Linked DNA regions of Lepisosteus oculatus. The protein of the gene in region 1 purifies or fractionates together with the protein of each later gene. This does not show direct contact. Links are inferred from orthologs where the notes say so. Each region holds a gene or a part of one and is shown on either strand. Other genes may lie near its edges.

What was found. Proteins that work in one complex are often made in the same cells at the same time.
Region 2: the proteins of tmub2 (region 1) and rnf185 purify together in Homo sapiens (affinity purification with western blotting; 3 studies listed by BioGRID and IntAct, with this or other methods). This does not show direct contact. The link is inferred for Lepisosteus oculatus from reciprocal best matches to the Homo sapiens genes TMUB2 and RNF185.

The regions. Positions count from the first base shown.
Region 1 is NC_090723.1:3,091,186-3,098,993, forward strand, and holds the start of tmub2 (transmembrane and ubiquitin-like domain-containing protein 2), read left to right. Parts: upstream 1-4,796; 5' UTR 4,797-5,622; intron 5,623-5,629; exon of another isoform or gene 5,630-5,815; intron 5,816-5,825; exon of another isoform or gene 5,826-5,964; intron 5,965-6,083; exon of another isoform or gene 6,084-6,174; intron 6,175-6,745; 5' UTR 6,746-6,771; coding exon 6,772-7,316; intron 7,317-7,808. Other genes in the region: asb16 (ankyrin repeat and SOCS box protein 16), read left to right, coding at 234-642, 2,192-2,275, 2,716-2,829, 3,587-3,772.
Region 2 is NC_090717.1:6,587,385-6,594,438, forward strand, and holds the start of rnf185 (E3 ubiquitin-protein ligase RNF185), read left to right. Parts: upstream 1-4,048; 5' UTR 4,049-4,433; intron 4,434-4,460; exon of another isoform or gene 4,461-4,670; intron 4,671-4,689; exon of another isoform or gene 4,690-4,988; 5' UTR 4,989-5,087; intron 5,088-5,106; exon of another isoform or gene 5,107-5,372; intron 5,373-6,007; 5' UTR 6,008-6,065; coding exon 6,066-6,223; intron 6,224-7,043; coding exon 7,044-7,054. UniProt on the Homo sapiens protein: E3 ubiquitin-protein ligase that regulates selective mitochondrial autophagy by mediating 'Lys-63'-linked polyubiquitination of BNIP1.

The DNA.
Region 1 (7,808 bases):
CATAAAATACAAATCTGTCCAGGCTGACGTTAGTGAAGCAACAAGTGTTACATGATACGATTCGCTAGTTTAAGTTAAGATCAAATTGGGAATCAATATGTTCGAAAAACCGTGTTTCATGGCTCAAGCCATGGCTCAATCGGGCCTGCCTCTCCCATATTCTGATGGCGACCCGACTTTTCTAAAGCTGGGGAAAGGGCTCTTGACTGACTTCCATCCTTGCTCTCTCTCAGGTGTGCCAAGCTCCTTGTGGAGTACGGGGCCACAGTGAACATTCGAGCCAGAGACAGCCAGGTCACTCCTCTTCACGTGTCAGCTAGGAGCGGGCTGGAGGAGCACCTGGCACTCTACCTCTGCCACGGAGCGGACGTCTGCGCCCGTAACCGCGAGGGGGAGACGGCGCTCAACGCGGCCTGCGCGGGCGCCGAGCGGCCCTCTGAGGGCGGACGCTACTACCGCGTGGTCCAGCGGCTGCTGGGCTGCGGGGGTGACCCCAGGGTGGCGGGCAGGAAGCAGCACACCCCGCTGCACAATGCTTGCGCCAACTGCAGCTACCGGATCACAGATCTGCTGCTGGAGCACGGAGCTGCTGTCAACCTCGCCAACTGCGCTGGCTACACACCCATGGACTGCTTGTTACAAGTGGGTAAAGAGCAGGGCTTTTTTGAGAAACAAAACAAAATATATTGAGAATGGCCGGGAACAACATGAAGATATTTCAAACAGATAGCCAGCAGCTATATCACCCTGCAACGTACAACTGGCAGCCCACTGGAGCTCAGCAGGTGTGAGCTAAGGTTCTTGCTAAGGTTCTAAGGTTCTTGCTGGAAGAGGTGTTAGTGGGGCCAGCAGGGGGCGCTCACCCTGCGGTCTGTGTGGGTCCTAATGCCCCAGTACACTATACTGTAAAAATGCGCTGTCCTTCAGATGACACATAGAACTGAGGTCCTGACTCTCTGTCGTCATTAAAAATCCCAGGGCGTTTCTCGAAAAGAATAGGGTTGTTACCCTGTTGTCCTGGCCAAATTTCCCCCTGGCCTTTTTCAATCATGGCCTCCTAATAATCCCCGTCTCTGACTTGGCTTCCTCCCCACTGAGAGGTTGTGTGTGGTAAGTATACTGGCGCATAAGAAATTGTTGTTATTGGATAGTAGTTTTCAACTCTTTAAAGAACAATTCCACTCTTAATTATCAAAATTGTTTATGGAATATAGAATGGAACATTAAAGCATTGAATAATCTTTTTCTCAGTTTAGAACTGCAGTTTTGTTCTTACACACCCACCCAGTTTGGAACTGCCATCTGTAAATCCCATCTGCTCACTACAGCAACCTCTGAACCTGTCCAGGGTCAACAAGAACCCGTGCACAAACTCCATTGAAATGCCCACTGTTTTGGCCACACATCATTGGACAAGCTGCGCGTGCCACTGTGTCTTGCAGAGTAAGCACTGGTTAGAGAAACTGCACGTGTCTCACTGTTGTCGCTGCAGCTTTTGAAGTTTGGCAGCTCTAGCCTGGCACTTGATATATTACACCACAGATTGGAGAATTCATGTCACACTTGGCTAATGTGATGTGACAATGAAAAACGATTCAGTAAATGAATATATATTTGTATATTATTCCAATTTGAAAGTTAATCGGGAATCTTGTTGGTGTGGTGGTTACCGCTGCTGCCTTCCAGCTCCAGAGTCTGGATTCAGGTGTCCTTGAGGAGTTGGCATGTCATCGGTCTTCTCACAGGGTGTTCTAGTTTGCACCCCCCTCTGCAAGACTTGCTGCCTGGGTTGATTTGGCTTTTCTAAATTGCCCATTCCCTCATGGCCCAGTGAAGATCTGGTGTCACCAGACAGGGGAGAGAAGTCATGTGCTTTGGGGTGAGGCCCTTGCTAGTTCTAATAAGAGTAGCTTTCTGCTAAGGAAAGAACGTTCTAATGTATATACAGTATAACCATGTTAGATGTGAAAAATTAGAAATATAAAAAGCTTTCTATTTTGCAAAATGAAATAACTGGTTCTGAACCCCAATGTATGTTCTCTGGGTAACTTTTCCACTCATCTAGGTACGGACCTTTATTACTAAAATGAATTTTGCCTGTTGTATGGCACTGATCAATCAATAATGCTGTCTACACATTTCTCAGCAGTGGTCATTTCTCATGGTTTATTCATGCTGTGCTTCATTGCAGGTAGTAGAAGACTATTTGGACAACCAACCAGAGGGCATTGTCCGCTCGCTGCTCAATCACGGGGCACAGCCAGTGCACCCAAAGGTCAGGTAGAGACGCCAATGCTGAGCATGAGATCTGCAAACATTTTTCCTGGATTAAAACCACATAAGTGCATTATTCCTAAATAACACGAAAAACTAGAAACGTATTTGTCTTTTGTTCATTATTGACTCAAGCCACCCATTTAGCTGTTTCTCAAAGGATCCCGTGAAGCAGCTTCCTTCACTGACTGTGCATCTTATTTCTTTCCTGAAAACGCTCGTACTTAGCACCTCTTCCTTTCTTCTAGTCTTTCTTCTTTGAAATCACCAGTGAAATATGCATACATTTTAGCTTCTGGATTTCTTTTATATTATGTTGCTGTTGTCTGTGAAAAGAGCACAGTATTTCTGAAAATGGTGATATTTTTTCAGCATTTTAAAAAAACTAACACAATGTCTGCCTCATGCAAGTACGATAAAGTATTGCTTTTGTCACTTTAGATGCTGAAATTGTGTGCCATGTCGCCGTTGACCATGGAAGTGATCTTGAACTCATATGACAGTGTCCCACTGTGTCATTCTTGGATTGAGAGTGTTCCACCACAAGTCTGGCAGGTTCATATTGTTTTTTTTTTTCACAATTAAAGAATTTGAAAATGTTTAGAAAATTAAAAAAGTTTTTTTTTCCATTGTCATTGGGAAGCTGCTCTGAGATCTTGCCCTGTACCCTGTAAAAAATACAGTATTTATAGTAAACAAAACAAACATTAATCATTACATTCCAACTAAACAGCATAACTTGCCACAAACCTTAGAAACACAACTTCCTAGTTTCTATCACAGGTTCTCAATATTAGACTCTCAACTCATAAAAGTGAACAGGTGATTAAAATAGAGAGGCAGTAAATTCCTCTCAATTTCTTGCTGAGATGGCTACATCACTACACTAACATTACATTTCAAGAAGCCTCACTGGATTTTTTAGATGTATTTCTTATTCCATCCATCCATATGTAACCTCTTTTCCAAATTCAGGATCACAGGGAGCCAGAGTCTATCCCAGCTCAGCAGTGGGTGCAAGGTGGGGTACATCCTGGACAGGAAGCCAGTAGGCATAAACATAGGCACACACACTCACACCAGTGCAAATTTTCCCAGGAGCCAATTGACGTACCATTACAGACTGTGGGAGGAAACTGGAGCACCCAGAGGAAACTCATGCAAACACTCAAACTCCACGCAGATAGCACCCCAGGTCTGGAATTGAACCCAGAGCCCCAACACTGCGAGACAGCAGAGGCAGCATTACTAAACCACTGCATAGCCCTTATTGTCTAATCATTGATCGGCATGCTCTCTCTCCTCCTCTCAGGAACACCAAACGTTTTATGAGTCAGTTGTCCAGATGACCAACCAGCCCCGTCGACTGCAACACCTGGCACGCTGTGCCTTGCGCCATCACCTGGGAGATCGCTGCCACTCTGTCATTACCCAGCTGCCCCTGCCCGAGGCCCTCAAGTGCTACCTCTTGCTCAGCACGGAAGGATGCCTGACTTAATGGCTGGCACACCGCTAGAGAATTTATGACATCTTCCTCCTTGAAATTTTAAGAATCAGTTGATTAGATCTAAGTCTGTCTTCATGTCTCCAATTACTTTTGCGACAAGATCACATGCTGGATCACAGGTTTAAAATAATTATCAAAACATCCGTGTCGTTGCATGCTGGAACTGCAAGTGATGCTCAGACAGCATTTAGAGCCAAAAGAGGGCTTTCATATATTTGATCAGAAGGGATATCTTTTGGCAGGCCCATATTTAATAATGTATTCTACTGAATGCCAGAATCTCCTCCTGTGAAAGTTGACAAGGGAATGTGGATAGGACATCAGTATATGATTAGTGGTGTGGTTTCAAGTACAGGCATGTCCACACTGTTAGGTTATGCTGTGGAGGAGGGACTGGCTGCTAAACAAGCTGGTCAGGTATGGTTCCAGGCCTAGACATCTCCCCCCCCCCCCCCTCCACCCCCCTCCATAACTACACTGGTGTGAAAACTGGGTAGCCTAGGGTTGACCATCTGTGTTGCAGCACAGAGTCACACAGTGGCTCAGAGCAGCATGACAAACAGGCCCTGTGGTATAACTCTGAGAGAGGATAAAGCTGATTAACACCTTGCCAGGCAGCTCAGGGACACTCTTGACACATTCTTAAGAAGACGTTTGTACAATCTGTTCACCAGGGTGTTTTAAATTTCAGTAGATGTAGTAAAATACTGCAGATCACCAAGCAGGTTCCACATGTAAAAGCACAGTTTTTGCTCAGCTGTGAAACAGAGCATTGTCCCTAAGGGCCTTATCTAGAGTGCACAAATTGCAGCACAATTATTGTTGACAGTTGTTATAGGCTGTACAATCTGTTTTATAATAGCTTGCTTAAATTGTCCACAGTTATGAAGAGAAAAATGTAATAAAAAATGTGCCCCTATGAATCTTATACACACAACAGTTATTTAAGTGCATTGAGATTAACAGAAAAGTATTATGTTGTAATAGAGATCTTTCACATGCACGTCTCCGGGAATACAGACATGCAGCCATAAACGAAATAGGGTCCTCTTTTTTACAGTATGTGAAAAAATCAACTGGCTTTTTATAAAGTTCTAACTACAGTTAAGTGCTACACAAATGCAAATAACTATTATAATTATAATGTATGTGTTTAAATTAACTTGCAGTCATGCCAATGCAAATTTGGTCTCACCAAATAATAAAAGTACATATTGTATAGAAGCAAATTTACAATTGGACAACTGTACTCTGAGCTGGAGTAAAGTGAAAAAGTGCTTGGAGACCAGTTTGTCTTGCATTTTCACATTTTCTTTACTTTCACTAAAATAATTTCGGAATGGTGTTCCTCAAAAGATGTGTATTTATATGTTAAAGCATTATCACCATTAACCCCGGTAAATGATCTTCTATCTTCCACATACAGTAGCAAGAACTACAAAACCTTAAACATAATGTATCGGATGGCGCTGTTGTCTCACAGATCTTGAATGGATGAATATGCACATATTCATCATTAACGATCATGACCGAGGTAAAAAAAAAAATCACAATCGACAAACATCTAAACATTGTTACTACATACGGTATTGTAAAAGAACGTGACCTTTAAAATACTGTCAATATTATTCATCTGGTTTTCACAACCTCTCGAGTTCAGGCAAAAAAACATTATTAAGGTTTACGGGATCTGTGTCCCTCTTGAACTGCGTGACGTAGCCAATATGTGCCGTGTCTGACGTAGGCACATTTTGTGTTTGTGTGTGGACTGGGAGTGAGCGTTTCGTAAATTTGCTGGTGGCTGACCAGATTAAAATAGTTTGGAAGAAAATTTTAAAAAGGTAATGCTTTATCTGTTTAAATATATCTATAGTTGAATTAGCAAGGTGCGGCAACGGCTAGGTAACAGTCTTTGTCTGTTTGTAGCTTGTAAAAATTACGTCTGGTCGAAGGTCGCAGCTAATGTTGACATTTCTACTTAGAGGAAGATAGACTGAAAGAGGATAATGTTTACAGTTATTTCCGCATTTAAATGTAAGTAGGTATTCCCAATTAAACTATTTTGATTTTTGCTACAAAATGGTTCTTCGCAGTGTAACAATTTGCTATATTCTAACTTGCAAACTAACTCATCTGTTTACAGTCAGTTTTTCAGTAGCTGATCGTGTGCAGGACCCATGATGGTACTGTATATATTTTACTTTTATCACGAGAATTGTTTTGTGGTTGCAGCATGATTATGTACCATATAAACGTTTATTTTGGTAAGCAGTGTTTTGCTATTTTAACCCGCTTCCTTTAGAAAGTCGACATTCTCATACAAAACGTCGAAGTTGAATAATTTGAGCCTATGGAAAGCGCAGCCGGATGATTGCTAACTTCACATTGAATCTGTACGTAAACGAAATATTTTAATGCATTGGTTTTTAATACCATAGATGGTCAATCCTAATTAATAATGACAAGAAAACGCGCAAAAAAAGTGTTTAAACGTGACATATATATCGTGGAGGTCAATGTACTGGACTACGTGTATGTTGGGAATACATCGTTCATTAAGTATATGATGTTCGATTAGAGCGCTTGAATGCCGTCTAAAATCCAGCAGGGTCATTGTATTGTAAAATGTGAAACAAATGAAATCCTACTGAATATGTGTTAATCTTTGAAGTGTGTTGCTGTTCTGCCTCGTGTTAATCATAATTGAGAAAAAAAAACGTATCATGTTTTTTTTCTGATCTGAAATCAAGCAAGCCAATTGACTTCTTTTTTTCCCTGTTATTAGGAAATGTATAACTTTTGCACAGGAAGATCACGTTAAATATTTCATATACACGTGGCCTGTTTTCTAAAGGGGTAGGCTAGGCCTCTGTGTGAGCCCTATTTTGTGGTACAAATGTAAGATCAATGCAGGGCTCTTCATTTTGCTCCTCTAATGTTGTGCTTGCTTTACCTTGTGCTCAGAGCTCAATGGGAGTTGGCAGTCGAGGATGATGCTACTCGAAGCAGTTGGTAATGAAGTGACTGTAGTTGGAGGAGTGGTCCTTTTTGGCCTGGCACTGGTATTGGCCTGGCTCTCCACATACGTGGCAGACCGCGGCGACCACATCCTGGGCACCATCCTCACTACTGCCAACCATACGTCTTTGGTGAGCCTCGGTAGAAGAGAGGGGTATATCGGGGGACCCCCAGTCTCGGACTCCAGTGAACCCCAGCCTGCTTCACCGATTGTGGAGGACAAACCGGAGGACGAAGATGAGCACGGCTCCGAGTCTGGGTCCTCGGACGCGGTCTCGCCCGGGGAGGGGGCAGCCGATGCCAGCATAGACAGCTTCCTGAATATCCAGGGGCTGAGAAAGAGGGCAGCTTCTACCAGTGAGCCCACCGCGCCCAGGCTGGAGGAGGAGGGCAACCAGAACGGCAGCTGTGGGGCAGACAGCGAAGACAGACAGATCCAAGTGCGCCTCAAATTCTTAAATGATACAGAGGAGGTGGCTGTAGTCAAGCCTGATGATACCGTTGGGCTGCTGAAAAGGTAGGGAAGCTCACCTCCATTCTTATCGTTTATTCCAATCCAGGGTCATGGGGGAGATGGAGTTCTTAGCAATCTTACTAACAAGAGATCCCTTTGCATTAGGTTGCTATGAATCTTCATTTTGACCTGAGTAGGTTTTTGCTGTTGTTTATGTCGATTACTCATCAATACAGCATTTTATACCAATTAAATGTACCCCCTCTTTCTACTTAAGAGATATCAACACTTGAATTACTGTGTCATTTTATCTCTTGGATGTGCTCTGGGCTCTTCATTGTAGATACAAAGAAAATTTGCTATGATTACAATCTATATCAATTTGTCTTTGTAAGATCATCGATGAAGACACTTGGAAATAAAAGCCGATGGTAACATGAATTTCGAAAACATGTATATTGCTCTATTAGACCCAGCTGGCTAGACTAACTTCTTTTATGTCTGGAGCTCTGTCAAGAAATGGCTGTACAAGATCTTTGGGTTAATAAGCTACTT
Region 2 (7,054 bases), on another chromosome or scaffold:
AATTTTCACAGATCTACTGCCCTAACAAGAACACGTGTTTCTAGATGGAAGAAAAACAACCCTATTACAAATCCCGTGACGTTTATGATATATTTAAAATCATTGTAAGGTGATACGAGAGTTTTTGTTAATACCGTACACTAATTTTAGTAACATAAATGAGTTTTTACATCTATTTTTTGCAGTCAATCTTAGTAACTGAGAACAGCTCCCTACTTTTCCCTTCAGTTCTCAGTCTGTTTTTTTTTTTAGTTTTGGACTGAAAAAAGAGTTTACAGTTCATCAGCACTGCGGCTCTTGCGTCCTAGTGAAAACGTTTTTAAAGCTTCAAAAAGTTCCAGGTCAAACAGGGAAAGGCAGGGGGAGCCATTGAGGCTAAATAATAGAATTATAGATCATTAGAATACTCTATAAATACAATTGGGACCCTAACTATATGGCTGGGGAAAATAAGCTAAAGTCTCTTTAAGCCAATGTAGTGCTCTCAGTGCTCTTGATGTCTGCAGTGTTATTTGCATAGAAACTAGGAATACTTCCAGTATGTCTTGATGGACTGCATTCTTGCGGCTTAATGCCAGAGGTGAGTGTATCCAAATGGACACTGCCCATGTTTTTTTACCATGATAAGCAAGAATAGGTCATTTACGTTAGTTCAACATTAAAAGCAGGGGTGCAAAAAAAAACATTTCTGGGGCAACAATACTGAAGAAGTGTTTTGGCTTTATATATTTAAACATATGTAAACTACAAAACCTAAGATCTCATTTTTCTCATGATTGGATGTTTCTAAAACCACAGGATACAGAAATAAAAGAAATGCAGGATCAGGATGGGAGTCCAAACAACAATTAACCATTGCTATTCTGCAAATATGTGACATAGATTGACACATTTTCCGCTATGGAAAAGGTGAATAATGAGCTACAGTAGGTTAGCCATTAACTCACTACACCCCTCTAAGGATAACATTTTTACTATAAATGGATGGATGATTTTCCAAACACAATCTGACATTTTGCAGCTTCCTATGCAGACAGGTTTTTGTAGCTCAGCATGCAGGTAAACAGGCCATTGTTATAAACGACTTCAAGGCTTCAATGGAACACAGTTACACCTCATTTGTAATCAAAAGAATAACCACCATTATATTAAACTCTTTTTTTATCAGAAAAATGTCAGAACGGTTTTTCACAAATATGAATTGGTGTTACTTCCAACACAGCTTGAAGCCATAGCCTTTACCAGGAATGCCGAGTCATTCTTGTGCTTCTAATAAGATATGTTTTCCTTTGAGAAAGTAAAACATGAGGGAAGGCAGGAGATACAGTTCCTTACCTGGTTTATTATGTGGTTTCTAACATAACCAACCCTGCATGGGCAGATAAGATAAGGGTCCTTTGAATTCTTTCTTTTGGTTGGGAAATGGAGCACCAAACAGAATCCGTAGTACCACCACAGCCAGACCAGTCCATTAATTCATTAAATAAAGTCACAATTATACTTAAATGTGATTATTTTATTTCCAGAAATCTCTAAAGTCCAGAACGTGATTTAAAACATTCCCCCGTATCATTGACACCCAAAAACTTTATGCAGGTTCTTGTTCATTTAATTTCAGACAGACTCCTGCTGAGTCATGGACCACGCTGTGCGGAATGCAGAACATGAAAATATCAGGAAACCGTTAAAACATAACTGCTGCAAACAATGATTAATAATAATCCAGACAAGTTAAAAAGAACGCCCCGCGTTTTGCAAAAATGAAGAGGACCCTGCAGATATAAAGAAAATAGGGGATCAAATTCATATATCAGGACAATATAAAGGAACATTGTTATAACGATGAAGGCTCCACAGCCGAAACGTTGTGTTTCCTTTCTTCTCTTTTCAGAATGTAATAAACTTTTACTTGTTCCTTTGCAGCCTATGCATGCTGACGCAGCCAGCTGCTGGAACTATATCAGGACAATGTGATCTTTTCATCCTTTTTGTGGGTACTTAGTACCCAGAATCTGGGACAAACCAGAAAAAAATTGGTTTTGTTCCTGATCTCCTTGGTTTCATAGGGGCATAAGCATGATAAATAAGTGAACATGTTTTAGACAGAAAGATGCTTTGATGGAAGGTTTCTGAGGCAGAAGACAACAGGTACCTGTCATGTCTGAATTCATGTGTCCATCAGAACATTATCAAGCCCACAAATGAGAGCAGGCCATTAAGCCCACTAAACTCATTTGGTTCTGTTTCTTCATAATCTCATATTAATAGTACTGACTGTAGAGGGACAAAATCGCAACCAACTCTAGTCTGAAGTCCCCTTTCAAATAATTATTTAGAGTAAAACCTAAAAATCTATTGTATTTGTTTGGGGGACCTGATAAAAACAGGGCACAGCAAGATCCATGAGCTGTATTAACCACCCTGACAGCCGTCAGGCCTGCACAGCTGTATAACATTCCTCACACCTCATTGTAGTGCAGGCACACATTGTTTTAGTCATGCCTGGCATCGAGACAGAAGGGGGAGGTGATGTTTGACTCCCGCCGATGTAAGGAGTATAAGGTGTATACGGTGTGAATGAACAATAGGATCGCCGTGGCTTGTCATAAGTTATTTACGTGCTGTATTGAAAATGGATCTAACCTTCTGAATACTGCATCCCGGACATTCGTCAACTAGCTCCCTTGATGAATAATGGAGGTGCGGAGGCTTGGCATGTGTTCGGGTCGGACCAGCAATTTCTCTGGGAAGGAGCAGAGCTTCTGTTTATCCGTTACATAATCGCCATGCTCCGGGAAGTCAACTGGACACTGCTTCACAGTAGGGTGAAAGTTAATTTTCCATTCCTGGATCATCAAAAGCTGTCAATGCAAAATGTGAGCAGGGGACGCACGGATGTTGCCATGAAATCCTTGTGCAAGACCGTGTAATAATTTACTGCGTTTATTTTTGCTTGTTTATTCATCTTCCTTTCCAGTTTAAATCGTGAAAGATGCATGGCCTCTTTTTGACCCATTCCACTCGATTATTATTATTATTATTATGGTGGTGGTTGTGGTGGTTCTGATTGTGTTCTCTGATCTGTCACAAGAAAGGATCACAAGAGCACTCTCTTGTGGTCATTTCTAAATAGTGAAATGTTGTGCCAGAACAACAAATTAAATTTTGTTGTTGTTGTTGTTGTTGTTATTTTTGGAGAAAATATGAATATTTGGATTTTTTATTTTAAATTAAAAATTAACTCCATAAGAAATGTTCTGCAACTATTACAAAAAATGATGGTTCTACCTGTACATCATTAACTTTCGTCCGTGCGTTGACACATTAATACTTGAATCGAGCTGTTAAAAATGAAAAATAACGAAAATTAACATTACAAAATGTAATGCATCCATTTTTTACGGGTTTAAGTAATTACTGCGTTACGTTTTAATGTCTCATTCTTTACCAGGCAAACAGCTGTCCTGCAACATGTAAATCGATTAATTTGCAGAAGTGAATGTAACGCATTGCGCGATTAATCGCAAATGAATGTACATTAATTTACAGGACAGATGGAAACATATAACCCTGTTTAGAGGCAGAGAGAGTCAGTGTCAGGATGGCCGAGTGGTCTAAGGCGCCAGACTCAAGGAGCGACTCCTTCCCCGGGCGGGTATTCTGGTCTCCGAATGGAGGCGTGGGTTCGAATCCCACTTCTGACATGACCTTTTTTGTCTCTTGTTTTCTCCCACCGTATAAAAACGGACGCGTCCCATTCTCTGTTATAAAAGTTCTGTATTTTAGATTGAGAATATTCCGCGTCCGTGAGGACAATCTAAAACGCGTGTTTAGCTTTTGCCCCTTCTTGTTACCACGACGTGCCCGCGTCTCCACTCTTCACCTGGCATCGGCTTCACCAGTAAAACCGCCGAGACACCGCCAGGGGGCACTGCTCTCGCCTTTTCAGACAAAACCCGAACCAACACGGGTCTTGGCCTCTCGTTTAACCATCAGACCCACAATACACGGTGTACCTGTACTTGCTTGGTAAAGACAGGGGTCTTACAAGCCTTAATATATGATGACGGATGTTTTTTTGGCAATAGTGGGCCCCGAAACAGGCTCGCCCAAGAAACGAAATGCATGCCGCGGCGTCTCTTAAAGTGGGCGGAAACAGAAATGCGGCGCCAGATAGTTCGGCTACACCTCAGACGTGTTTCGTTTGAGTCTGTCGGTTTTCTCTACGGCGGCCCTCCTTGCCAGGGACGCGATAAATAGATCGAGTCCGTCCCGGCGCGGCTCGCGGCTCTCGCTCGGGTCACGCTGTCGCGTTCCTGCGCGTGTGCTTCCGGGTGCTGTCGGAGTCGGGGCAGCAGGGGATCCAACCAGACAGACGGACCCAGGAGCAGGAGCAGCAGCAGCGAGAGGAAAACTCGAGAAACCGAGGAGAGGTCAGGCGGTGTGCCGTGACGGTTTTGTTGTTTTCGGGGCGATCGGCGCGGACGCCGAGCCGATCCGAGCCACGACAAGTAGTGAAAACACGGGGGGGGTGTCTTCCAAGACATTCCCCGAGTACCTCCGGCACTGCTTATAACCCGACGTCGTTGACGCATACAAGAATGAAACGGCCCTGACCCGTGTCCTAGCACAAGCCCACGACGGGGAGTTGGCTTTGACACCGGTTTCGTGTAAGAGTGCACTATTGTGTCGCCAGTCGTGCGTCTTTGCGTGAGTCAGTTTTGCGCCGGGGTTGCGTGAGGCCCTCCGGGACTCGTCTCCCTGCGCCTGTCGCCGTCTGTCGCTCCGGCTGGGGTCGCGCTCGGGTTGTCGACAAGGGCTTTACACCATGCTTCTGAGCTTCTGTGGGACACGATTTGCTGAGCTGTTCACCTGAAACACGGATCTAACTGTTGCAGTGAGGCGGCGGGGGGGTATTGCGGGTCTGTTGCAGCACCTGGGTCAGTGATAACCTGTCTCCTTGCCATTGGCCCCTGGTGCGGGGTCAGGGTTTTCCTTCAGACCCAGTCGGTGCGATCCTGTTCGTGACGGTGTCACCAGGCTGTTACTAAATCTGGACGGGTGGCTCTGGTCTAGATAATCGTCCAGTAAGTACTCGGGATTTGCGGAGCAAGCTGAGACTTGATATGCTTTGTTATGTTGAGAGACTTTTATTCTTGGTGTACACGATCACCTAACTCACCTTTTCACGAAGGGACCTCCGATTCTGAAAGGACAGCATTTTTCCACGGTTTCCACGAGAAATAACTACATCCGGCAGTCGTTGTCTGGAGTGTACTTGCTGAACTACTTTGTGGATTTGATCGATATAATAAACATAATTCGGATATAAGAATACTCCGAATTAAATAGCTAAGATCTCTACAATTACGGTATTTTTTTTTAAATACAATGTATGCTAACATGGCTGGAATTCAGAGATGAAGCATTAATATTTGACTAACTTTTCTTCCAGTTAAGGTTTCAGTGAAATCACAACTGTCTCCTGGTTTTCCTCGCTGTTATTAATTAATAGTATGATCTTTTTTTAAAGATGTCTTGGATTTTGTTTTGCACTTGTGACGGTGTCAGTATTCGGACGCGAACATGGTGTTTTGAAATAACCTGCCTATCTCTCTCCTAAGTGCAGAAGCCCTTCCTTGTAAAATGATTTGACATGGCTACGATTCGTCCTGGTATTGTAGTCATTTTCTGTCCACTGTTTAGTTGTTCAGCTACTGTATTAACCAGTTTTCTGACACTGCATCTTATATTTGTGCACTGTTCTTTGCAGTTCATTGTCCTGAATATTAGCCATCTTCCTCTGTGTTAATAAGCGCTTTGATGTACTTTATAATGAAAATTGCTATATAGATACAAGGAATTCTTATTAAGCTCTGTGGATAAATATACTAAAAGGCAATAAAGTGCAACAAATGAGTGTTGGAAGAAGCAGCATTTGTTGTGTTTTCAGTGCCTCGCGGTATACTTGTAACAGATCTCAAACGCTGTCCTGTGCTTTCTCTAGGAGCCAGCAACAGAGGGCTAGCTTTTCCTGTCCGCCGTTCCCTTGACTACAGCCGGAGATGGCCAGCGCGGGCCCTACGGCCTCTGGCTCCACGGACAGTGCCAGCACCGGCTGCACCACCGGAGAGGGGAGTAACCAGGACAGCACGTTTGAGTGCAACATCTGCCTGGACACAGCCAAGGACGCGGTCATCAGTCTCTGTGGACACCTGTTCTGGTGTGTGTGCGTGGATCCGTGTACCTGTTTCCCAGAATTCCATGTGCTAACGGGGGGGGGGGGGTGGGGCAGAGCCGCAGACAGGGGTGTCAGTGCGATGTGGGGGTGGGACAGGTGTGGTCCTGTGTCAATTTGTGAATGAAGAGGCACATTTAGAATTATTGGCATGGGCTATTCCGTTGTAAGCACAGGGTGAGCTACACGTTAGAAATTGTCGTGACAGCAGATTAGTTAGTTGTGGGCTTTCTTCTTTGCTGATAATGTCTAGAAGACAGCTTTCAAGGCATGATGGTCAAGATGGGCGGAGCCGTGGCTCTGTGGCTAAGGATCTGCGCCTGTGACTGGAAGGTTGCCGGTTCAAATCCCGTGGCCGGCAGAGGAATCCTACTCCTGCTACTCCTGAGCAAGGCCCTTCACCCCAACTGCTTCAGGGGCGCCGTACAATGGCTGACCCTGCGCTCTGACCCCAAGCTTCTCTCCCTGTCTGTGTGTCTGTGTCTCCTTGGAGAAAAGCTGGGGTATGCGAAAAGAAGATTTCCTAATGCAAGAAATTGAATGGGGCTAATAAAGAAACATTATTATTATTATTATTATTATTATTAAAAAGATCACTTCCAGAAACTCCCATCAACCATGTGGCTGTTGTATTTTAAGCATGTTTCTTTTGCTACTAATGGGTATCAGCAGGGAAGCAGTGACACTTGTATAAAGCGTCCATGTAATTCATTGTTTTGGTTGGAAATTGGTAGGAAATTAACTCGCTGTTTTTTTTCCCCCTTTACCTTACTGTTACTCTGCGCTCCCATGGGAATGCTCTCAGCTGGCCCTGCT